Linked DNA regions of Arabidopsis thaliana. The protein of the gene in region 2 interacts with the protein of the main gene of each other region in a pairwise test. Each region holds a gene or a part of one and is shown on either strand. Other genes may lie near its edges.

The links. The genes of interacting proteins can lie anywhere in the genome.
Region 1: the proteins of NIA2 (region 2) and BRX interact in binary tests that used the Arabidopsis thaliana proteins (3 or more experiments, as listed by UniProt).

The regions. Positions count from the first base shown.
Region 1 is NC_003070.9:11,445,327-11,450,735, reverse strand, and holds BRX (DZC (Disease resistance/zinc finger/chromosome condensation-like region) domain containing protein), read right to left. Parts: upstream 3,450-5,409; 5' UTR 3,416-3,449; coding exon 3,414-3,415; intron 2,973-3,413; coding exon 2,819-2,972; intron 1,911-2,818; coding exon 1,519-1,910; intron 1,422-1,518; coding exon 1,292-1,421; intron 1,190-1,291; coding exon 870-1,189; intron 762-869; coding exon 683-761; 3' UTR 544-682; downstream 1-543. Other genes in the region: NIP3;1 (NOD26-like intrinsic protein 3;1), read right to left, coding at 145-276. UniProt on the Arabidopsis thaliana protein: Acts as a regulator of cell proliferation and elongation in the root and shoot. Regulates roots architecture and primary root protophloem differentiation.
Region 2 is NC_003070.9:14,156,816-14,162,439, reverse strand, and holds NIA2 (nitrate reductase 2), read right to left. Parts: upstream 3,989-5,624; 5' UTR 3,824-3,988; coding exon 2,779-3,823; intron 2,593-2,778; coding exon 2,452-2,592; intron 2,356-2,451; coding exon 788-2,355; 3' UTR 502-787; downstream 1-501. UniProt on the Arabidopsis thaliana protein: Nitrate reductase is a key enzyme involved in the first step of nitrate assimilation in plants, fungi and bacteria.

The sequences.
Region 1 (5,409 bases), 2.7 Mb from region 2:
ACCAATAATTAGAACCAAAGTCAAGATTGAGCTTGCATATAGGCTATAGCAAACATCACACGAAATATAAAATCTTGATTTGGACTAACAAATATTTCACGACAAATTAAGAAACCATATCGCAACATAAAAGAGGCGGCTCACCTTTTGAACGAACGATACGGACACAAGAGGAGCGGATAAATCCGACGACCGGGAATCATCAATGGATTGATAGTTTTCGATGTCCAAGACAACGGTTTGTGTCTGAGTAGTAATATCAGAAATCTCAGCCATTGATGGAACTATGGTGACTTTCCTCCAAGTTTATGGTTTTCTCATCTAAAAACTCAAATGGTCAACTCTACTTTGTATTCGTTATAACTTATAAGCAAATAATAAAGTTGACTTTTTTATTCTATAGTCTATACCGCATGTTGATAAATTCTTTTAGGTTCATAGTTGACTTCTTTATCTTTGTCACAAAACACACGACATGGTTTACACGATAGTTATAGACTTATAATTATATGTAAATGTAATCAGCTTTGATTAGAAATGATATTTCAAAACACTTAATTTATGTATAGATGTTAAGCTAAGATGAACAAAAAGATAAGCAAAATGTGTGTAGTTTGTGTTGTTATGTGAAGGAGATTAATTAATTAATTAAAGATTTTGGTACTCATAATATTTCGTTTGCTTAGAGGTACTGTGTTTGTATTCTCTCTCTGTTCTGCTCCCACCATGTCTTTGCATGCACTTCCCCAAACCGTTCCCGGCTGTTGATTAAACCACAAAACCATAGATTCCGGTTAGTCACGGTATGATTACCAACTTTCAAAATGTATATGATTAGCAAATGCTTAGTTTTAGACGTTTTGTTATACCTGAATCTGACTCGACGTAGCTCTCTAGTCCCATCTGATAATTGTCTGATGGTAATGTAAACACCAGGCTCGTCCTCTTCAATCCACTCAGCTTGCATTTCACTAGCATTGCTCATGGAAGGTGGATCATCTCTGGAAGAAGTTGTGGTTCTTGCTGCATCCATCGGTGGTCCTCCATGATAACTTCCTGGTCCATAGTTGCTAGAGCCGCCATAAAAGTGATGCGGGACAGATCCTGGAGGTCTGAAATTGTGTCTTGGAGTCCAGTCTTTGCTTTCTCTTGCTGAATCCATCTTTGAGTACGTTGAATCTCTCTGTGACTGAAATATAAACTTGTGTTACCCTCTCTGGCTTAAAAGACAAGATTCATATAGATCCTGTTCTGAAGAAAGACTAAGGGATCTAAGGATATATGTGTTTACCTGATCGTCGGATCTTGCAGGCGTTTGGAGAGCTTGGCGGTTAAATCTCTGTACATTGTAAAGCTCAACGATCTTGTCATAGTTCTCACCCCACCACCGTTGAGCTTGCCACTTATCAAACATCTCTCGGCTTTCAAAACAAGACACAAGTAATTGTTAGTTTTTATCTCATGTTTCAGCGTTGAATGCCATGAAGATATAGAGATTGTTTTGAGTAGTTCAAATACCTGAAACGGATCCGTTTGAGATCATTTCCTCCAGTGGGAAGAGAAGCAAATGTGATATGAACACCAGGTTCTACTTGAGCCATCCACTCTTTTGGTCCATCATCATCCAGTACAACATCACAAGACTGTGCAGAGATAGATTCTCGATCATTTCCATATATTGAAGTGAACTTTGATTCTAACCGTCCAGCTGGATGATGAGAGGAGTTTGTGAAGTCCCAAGCAGGAGTTGAACCAGCACTTCCACCCATGAAAGGGTATGGAACACCTTCAGAGGCATTGTCATAATCCGGAAATGATCTATGTCCTTTCTTCAAGGGACTACTAGAGGAACCAGTGCATGGCTTGCATTGTTTATAAGCACCAGAGAATTTCAAAGCCATATCTTTAATCTGCGTAACATATGCACCCAAAAAGACCGATTACATTCAAAAACTTTATCTTGTTTATCAAAGTAATCCATTTAAACACACAAGAATGTTGAGTATAACGGTACACAAACATTATAGGTAGTTTCAAGCCTTTTTAAGTATGACTAAGTATACTTTTTAGCCCAATGAAGTAAAAAGAGGTCTACTATGATCATTATTAAAAGAACAACAATAAAGCTATGAGATCTAACATAATTAAACATATGTATTAAAAAAAGAAACTTCATATTGTCTTCTTAGCCTGCACCACAATCATAACGGCCCACTATTTCTTTTGTTTATGTTCTTTTGATTTACTAAAATAGTTACCCCCACCCCAAAAAACCCTTTCTTTATTTCCTTGTCTAGGTAAGAATCCACTAAAGCTTATTTGAGAGAAAGGTATTTAGATCAAGCTTCACTAGCAATATTCATCAAAGTATGACCCCAATATAAGCTTTAATGATAGTCCTGATAATTCAACTGGCTACATAATTCAAGGATATGTACAATGAGGGTTTAAATTGTTTCAGTAGTTGTTTTTGACTTTCATATGTCTAGTCACATAGAGAGGAAGCAAACACTGACATGAAAACTATTAAAGAGAGATTGGTGAAAGATTCCAAAAAATGAAGTGAAGTTACCTCATTGTAAGATCTCTGTCCTAAACAACAGTAACCTCTATATACTAATGACTTCAAACTCTATTCTTTGGTAAAGAAAACGAATAATAGTCAAATATATGGACCCTTTTTAAGTCCTCTAAGATACGTTAATTGGGGTTTGTGTCTTTGTTTGTTTCACGAGCAAGGCAATTAGAGAAAAGCAATAAAATAAAGTGAAAGAAAATAAAAGCAGAAGAAGGATCAACAAAGAAAGAAGAGAGAGACCTGAATGGTTAGGCTTTTGACGGCTTCTTTAGTATTGGGAGTGGTGCCTCCACGCGCTCCATGTTCGACTTCTTCACCTCCGTCTGCTTTGGTACAAGCTATGCAAGAAAACATTTTTGGTCTCTTTTTTGAGTTGTTCTCTGCCTTTTCAGACCTATAAAACCAGAGAGTACTCTATTAAACATCATCACAAACCAAACCTCACACTACTCTACTCAAATCAATAATAATACTCTACAAAACAAAACAAAAAGTAATTAAGAACGTTAAAGTAGAGCTCACTCTCACAATCCGACATAAAACACGGGTAAAGCTTATGTAATCGTAGTACACATGTAAACATTAGTTACAAGTTAGGAACATATAGCTAGAAAAGGGTATTTGGATTTCAATTGTCGTTTTCTTATAACGCAAAACACAAACACAAAAGGACAAAGTTGTTGACATATCTCTAGTCAGGAAACAACTACTCATGTTATAACAAAAAGAAAATGTAACTTGACTGGTTAGTAGTTTAACTCATAAAGAACCAATGCTAAATATTTCAAGTACTAAACCCATTTTTTAAAAATGGAAAGAAAGAAAAACAGTTTACATTACACCATGGTCGGATATTTGTGTTACCTATTTTAAGAGCGAATAAAAAAAGATGGGTATAAATTAGTGAAGAGATCTTGATAAAGACAAAAGTGTTGAAAGAGATATTAAAACTACATGTTACACTTTTCTTTATTAAAAAAAAAAAGATGTTATAACTAGAAAAGAAAGAGAGCTTGGGGATCAGAAAATAGGACCCAGTTAAGAAATACTAATATTTTAAAAATTAATTGTGCAAATCTAAACACCTGAAAATTGTATAAACACATTATTTACAAGTAATAATATATTCTAAAGACAATCATAATAGAGACAAATGCTTCTTTATTCTACTTTAAATAGTTTTTTTTTTTTGTTAAAGAATAACTTAATACTTTTGTGTGCAGCAAAAGATCCTAAACCCATCCCTCAACTAACAAAAGTTCGAAGAATAATTACATTTTTTTTGCAGTAGCCGAAATTTATGACATTTTAAAAAAAAATCAGATTATTGTGATGACTCAAGAGAATCAAATAATATGTTCTGATTCCGCGTGTTTAACATCGATCAAGACAAATACATAAGTAAAGAAGAAAACAATTGGAAACACTAGAAAAGCAAAACAAAATTGAAAAATATAACAAGAAAATGGAATCTTGACAGTCACGTGTTAAGAAAAAGAAAAAGAGATTGGTTTCTATTTTTAGGGTTTTGAGTGATGATGGACCAATCTAAAGCGTGTCGCGACATGAAAACTAAAACTATATCCAAAGTAAAAGATAAAATCGCAAAAACAATCACGAATCACGAAAAAAACTCTGTTTTGATATCAAAAGCAAAGGCAAAAACTGATACAAAAACCATTATTATTCTCACCTCAGAAAACGACTTCTTCTTTTTTTCTTAATCATTACAATCCAAAAAATAAAATTTTGATTAGTGGGTTTTGTTTATTACTCACTCACCTTTGTGTTTCGATATCTGAGAAATGAAGCGATATGATCTGAGATTATTGAGATACTAGATAGCTAGCTTCTGCTTTATTTTCCTCTTGAAGGCTTTGGTCTATTTAGGAAGCCGGCACGAGTGGGGTTAGTTCTGAGTCTACGTCTATAAATAGACCATCAATGGCTGCAGAGAAGATTAGTGTAGTAGTGTTACAGACAGTAATTGTAATAAATGTGTTACAAAAGGACGAAAACAATTTATGATACTACAATTTTGCTTTTAATGTTTTTGAGAAAAAATTCGGCGTTTTCTCAAAAAAGTAAAAGAACAATAAATACCGGGAAACTTTTGAATGAAAATGAAAATTTATATTAATATTGAAGAATGAATACACATTTTTCGGTGAAGTTTCTGATTTGGGTTTAGTGAGAAAATTTTGGTATTAATCAGAAAAAAATGACGAATCGAATCTGTCTAAATCAAATCAATCAAGTGACAAATGTTTGCAGAAAAAGGTAACGCAAAAAAAAAAAAAAAAATCTCTGAATCTTTTTTTTTCCGGGAAAAAATAGTATTGAAAAGATCGATCGGAAAAAAACCAGTGACTAATCGTTTCTACAGAAGAACAGAAACAGAGCAACGAATCTCTCTGTTTTCTTATTTTCCCGAGAAAAATCTTCAAAAAAGAGAATTTTTATAAACTCACCTGAAATGTCTTCTTCTTCGAATCTGATTATGTAATAAACTTCACTGAGAAAATCTCCAAACTCAAAAACCCATAGAAATCTTCATTTTCCGGAAGAGAAATTTGGAAAAAATGAGAACAGAGACGAAACCGGGTCGAGAAGTCGGGTTATTGGGTGACCCGAGAACTGAAAGGAGCTCCGAGAGTTTTAACTAGACGAAGAGAAGAGAGACAAGAGTTACGAAGAGTATATATATATACGTGGAGGAAAGAGAATGTTTAACGGCGTTTAATGTAATAAAAAAGAACCGTGAGTTTTGACGGAGGTTTATTATTTTGGTGTGCCGAGGAAAAATATTGGTCTCGAGAAGAGACGGCAAA
Region 2 (5,624 bases):
TATTTAGATATATATATATATATATATCGTAACATTTTCTATCGGTTTAATAGCACACTATTTTTATATAGATATGATGTTCCTTTTGGATAACTTAGAACATAACTTGTGATGCTGTATTAAAATTCTAATCCTGTAATGGAGAAGAGTTTGGATGCTAGAAACATACTTTATAAACATGTACAATTTTAATAAGAACAAATTGAATATTAACTGAAAACTCTAAAGATTCTCAAACGATTGATATATTGTTAAACTAATCACCCAAAAAGGAAGAGTCTTCTAAATTACAAGTTAATAAAACAAATGAAAAAAGTAAATTCACTCCCCCTAATCTTAAATCATATATGTGGTGAAGATTAATATAGGAACTAATGGACGAGTTTGGTTTCAACTTGCACAACAGGAAACTACTTCGCTTTGGCTTTATTCTCTTTGAAAATGATTATTGGTGTCTAATAGCTGTAGAATTTTTATTTTATTTTTTAACGACAAAGACATATGAAAAAATGAACATATTCAAATTGATATTCATAATGTGAAGTAAACGCAGAAAATTCAATGTACGATAACCTAACCACAAAAATTTCTGAAATTACTTTTTGTATATTATTGTGAAAAAAAATATCGATCGTGAATACAACGAACACATTATATTTCCAAATCCAAGACTTTAAAGAACCAACATTATATACAAACAAATCCCTCAATACTTATTTAGAATCTATCATAACACTAGGCTTTTTGACGACTTAACGTTTTGACTTTGAAATATCTTGGCTTTAGACTAGAATATCAAGAAATCCTCCTTGATGTTATATTGCATCTTCTCCAAATTCGGCTGAACCGCAAACTGAATCATCGGTGGTGGTCCGCAAGCCATGGCAAGGGCTGAGCCATCTAATCCATCAGGGATATGTTCTCGCATAATCGCCTCGGAAATAAACCCGGTACTGTATGCCCAACCTTCCTTAGCTGATTCCACTACGTACCAAACCTTTAACCGGTCCGGGTATTGCTCTGCCCAACCATCCAGTTCCTCCCTTAGGAGAATATCTTCCTCGGTCCGGTTAGCATAAATGACGTACATTTCAGTCTCATCCTCTGGATCCTTGAGAATGGCTTGGATAATTTGGTAAACCGGAGTTATTCCGGTTCCACCTGCCAACATTGCCAATTTATCAGCAAACTTTGGTTTACCGTGAACCGTGAAACTACCCTTGCCGAGATACTCAACGTGACCCAATGGTCCTTTAATCTCCAAAGTTGACCCTATAGGCAAAGAGTCTAGGTACTGAGACATGAGCCCGCCGTTAGGGAATCTTGGGTGGACACCGCCAAAGTAAATCTTGACCACGAGCTCGAAGTAGCCAACCACATCAACGGTGCTGCTTGGTGTGTAAGCTCTGAGGCAGAGCTTGTCATTGATGGTGGCGCAAAGGAAAATGTGCTTACCAACCGGTAAGCCTAGAACCATATCCTCAACCGGTAAAGCAAACCGGAATTTACGAACATCATGAGAAATGGAAGTCTTTTCGACGAGTTGAACCGGGACTTTAGCCCGGGGATTAACCAAAGCGAGGTTCCTAACCGGAGTCGCCTCTCCAATGGGAGCCAACAGCGAGAACACGGCGGATGAACCGTGAACCGAGTTGTTAGGCGAGGAAGAGTCAGAGGAATAACCAGTGGTGATGAGCTCACCGATACGGTAATCCTCAAGCATCTTCTTGGCTTTATCCGAGTGAATGGCTTCAAACTCCTCCGTACAATCCGTACCAGCATTGATCAAGATTGAATCCGAACCACCCGGGTGATCCATAAGGAATCGTGTACAATCATAGATATGTCCATGGACAATGATCCAGCAAGAGTCAGCCGAATTATGCTTCTTGACCTCGGACATCGAGTACATCTTCGCAGTTGTGTTCATAAACGGCGTCGAGACAGACTTCTTTAGACTAGGAGGCGCGTCAGCCGATTTTTCGAGGTGACGTTCCTTCGCCATCCATCCACCAGATTCATTACCAGGAAGCGTTGGATGCTCGAACACAATCCCAATCTCTCCCTTGTGTGGCTTGCACACGTTAGTCTTCACTCTAAACCAGCAGTTATTCATCATCCCCATGAGATTCCATATCATTTTCTCGGGCTGCGTGTTGAGAGTCTCGTCCCATGCACGAACAGCAATCTCTTTGGCACTAAGCAAGTCCAAAACCTCAACCTCAAGTGACCAAAAACACCAACACCAGAACTTCCCATACTTGTTTGGCTTCTCTTGATGGTCAAGTGCACATACGTTCCATGTCTCTCCACCATCTACCGTGACCTCCACACGGGTCACTTTTTTTCCACCTCCTGTTTTTTTTTGTATAAAGATTATTGTTACTATTAAATTAAATCATCCTATGAAATAACGTATTTATTAAATTAAAATGTTAAAAGGACAAGTACCGGAATATGCGTAACCCTTTAAAGTATAAGGTCTTTGGGTTGTGAAAGCGTTGATGGGAAGAATCTCCTCGTGACATGGCGTCGTAATCACGGAGTTTATGTTTAGCTCGTTGATTATGTACTCTGGCTTATACCACCAACCTAAAACAAAACCATTGAATTTGAATTTATGTAAGTCACAGAAGCTGACATCATCCACCAACATTAGTTTTTCATTTTTTAATATGATTTCTGTTTTTGTTTTTCTCCTATAGGTTCGGAGACTTTTTAAACATATCAATTAGTTCATCTTAATGAGATTTATTGAAGCAAAAAGATTTTATGTACCTTCTTCGTCGGCGAGTTCGGCGTCTACCAAAGAAGGTAAAACTCTGTTGTCCTTGAAATGGTAGAAATTGTCGGATTCTTTAGTTGTGACAATGATTCGTTTCAACCATTTAACCATCCGGCCACCAATGAAACCGGGGATGATGATCCGAACCGGAAAACCGTGGTCTGGTGTTAGATACTCTCCGTTTTGCATATAAGCCAAAATGATGTCTCTTGATGGATCCATGGCATATTCCTTCTTGATGCTCGTTCCGTATTTGGAACCAGCAGTTCCGGCACCGCCCGGAAGATCCTCCGACCCTTCGAAGCAGACGTTGAGAGCGCCGCCTTTTCGGCTAAAGATCCCGCAGCGACGCAGTACGTCGCAGAGAGGGACACCACGCCACACGGAGGTGGAAACTCCGGCGGATCCCCAGTTGAATCCCTTTGACTTCTTCACCATGTTCTGTTCCTTACGGCGGTTCCCCGCGCAGACTAGCGTCGCGGCGAACTCGCGGTAAGCAAACTCGGAGACGAGCTGGTCCATGGTGAATTTCATGGGCCGTTTGACGAATCCGGTCACCTCGACCGTCCATTCGGCCCATTGGGCTTTAGGGACGTGGCCGTGGTTACGAACGTAGTGCAACGGGACAGGGGTGATAAACCCGTGGTGCATTAAACGGTTAAGAGGCGCCTCGGAGTTGAAGGGATGTTTCCCTGTGAGACGTACCATGGAAGGGTTACGCTCGATCCAGCTATCAGCCGTGTATTCGTCCCTCGGGTCCAAAACGGACGGTTCAAGCTCGGCGTTGGATTTTCTTATCATCTCCTTGTAGTACACGGCGTTGCTGTTGTGTGTCTCGTTCTCGTCTTCGCTCGACACGTCTTCGTCATCGTCATGAACCTTGGCTGGTTTCAAGAACACGGTTTGGTTGGTGGTTTGGTTCTGGTGCGCCTTAGGGGAATCGGACCGGCCTGGAACGGGAGGTTTGTAAGAACGAACCACGCCGTTCAAACCTGGCTCGAGACGAGCGTATTGGCGATTATCTACAGAGGCCGCCATGTTGGAAAGTGTATAATCGTAAATAATGTAGAAAGCAGAGCCTTTTTCTCTCTCTATCTCTCTCTTGTGAGTGAGATGAGATCTGAGGACGAAAATGCATCGTTGGTGGAGATGAAGTTATATAGGAGAGAGCCTAGTGGTATGCTTTTAGGAAGTATCGTGCCGAATCACACGTATGGGACCATTTGTGACTTTTTAATTTTTTTCTTACACACTTACTATTAATTTTTTCTTATGACTTGACTTAATTAAATAAACCATCCATTTGTTTGACAAAAATAAACGATCATAGTTATTCAATAAGCTTAAAATGATCATTTTTGTCCCTATTTGTTATAAAACAAATGTGAATTGTTGGAGTAGTTTTGTAAATACTTTTAACGTCTCGGAAACATGTATAGATTTTTTTTTGTCAACTAAGAAATGATGACAATTGAATAATATATTATTATCTATCATTGGTTATTTCCTGTAATACAATATAAAAATGTGATCAAAACATTTTCCTTTTTATTTTAGTCGAATTTGTTTTACTAAAAAATATGTTTTCTTATTCGTGACACAAAGCCGTATTTATTTTTAATGGAAAAATAACGATAAAAGATGACAAAATAATTAAGAGCAATAAAATTAGTAATACAAAAATCGTGGTGATAATATTTTCATACTATTAATTTTAATAGTTTTTGTGATCGGTAACTATTAAAACCGTATATATATATATATATATATATATATATATATATATATATATATATATTTTGTAAACCGTATATTTTTTACCAGTAAATTAAAGAATTATCAATGTGTTAACATAGGAAGAACGTTCCTTTTATTATTGAGATTTGATAATCCTTTTACCCCTGGTTCTAGTTTAGAAGTTTATCAATGTTCTTATATCCTTCAGTTAAACATAGGAACAACGTTCCTTTTATTCTTGAGATTTGATAAATCAATTAAACATATTATCAGAAAAAATCTAATAATCATACAATATTTATTTTCTTATTAAACGTTATTTTCAGTAATATTTTCTTATTAAACTGTTTTTTAGTAATATTTTTTTTTGATAAAATTAACAGATGTGATTTTCAGCAATATTGATGAGATATTAATTATTGAGTAATCTAATTTTTTGTATACATTATTATAACCTAAAATAGTTCCTTGAATCATCTAAAAGTTTAAAATACCTATGTATGAATGTTGGAAAATGAAAAAAAAAAAAAAACTGAATGATGGAAAATGATCACGTTCATCTTTTTCCTTAAAATAACTACAAAATTATTTCTCTTTTTGATCAAGATGCAACATTACAGCCACCTATATATTAGTATTACTGTTATTATTGTTTTTCTTCGGAAAGAATGGCGGTGACTAATCAAAACCGACGGAGCCACGGGTTCAGCAGATTCAGTGGGTAAATCTTTCTTTATTTAAGACTTTTTTTTGTTGAAAATTTCATTGAGTAAATATTGAATATTGATTTTCTTGTGAACTTCTAATTTTGGGTAACCAATATACATCTTTATTTTTTTTATATATATATATATATATATACTTCTTCTGTTATAATATATAAGATATTTCACTAAAAAGACAAAGTTTAAGATATTAATTAATATTTTTACATTAAAAAACATATTTTGATATTTAATTAAAGAGAGTTTGCTAATGAATTTTTTACTGCAGAATAAAAATTTATCTTTTGAGATGTGAGATGAAGATTAAATCTGTGAAAGAAAAAAAAGTAAAAAAGACAGTTTAAGTTTAAATCATATGGTACTATTTATATTATGTT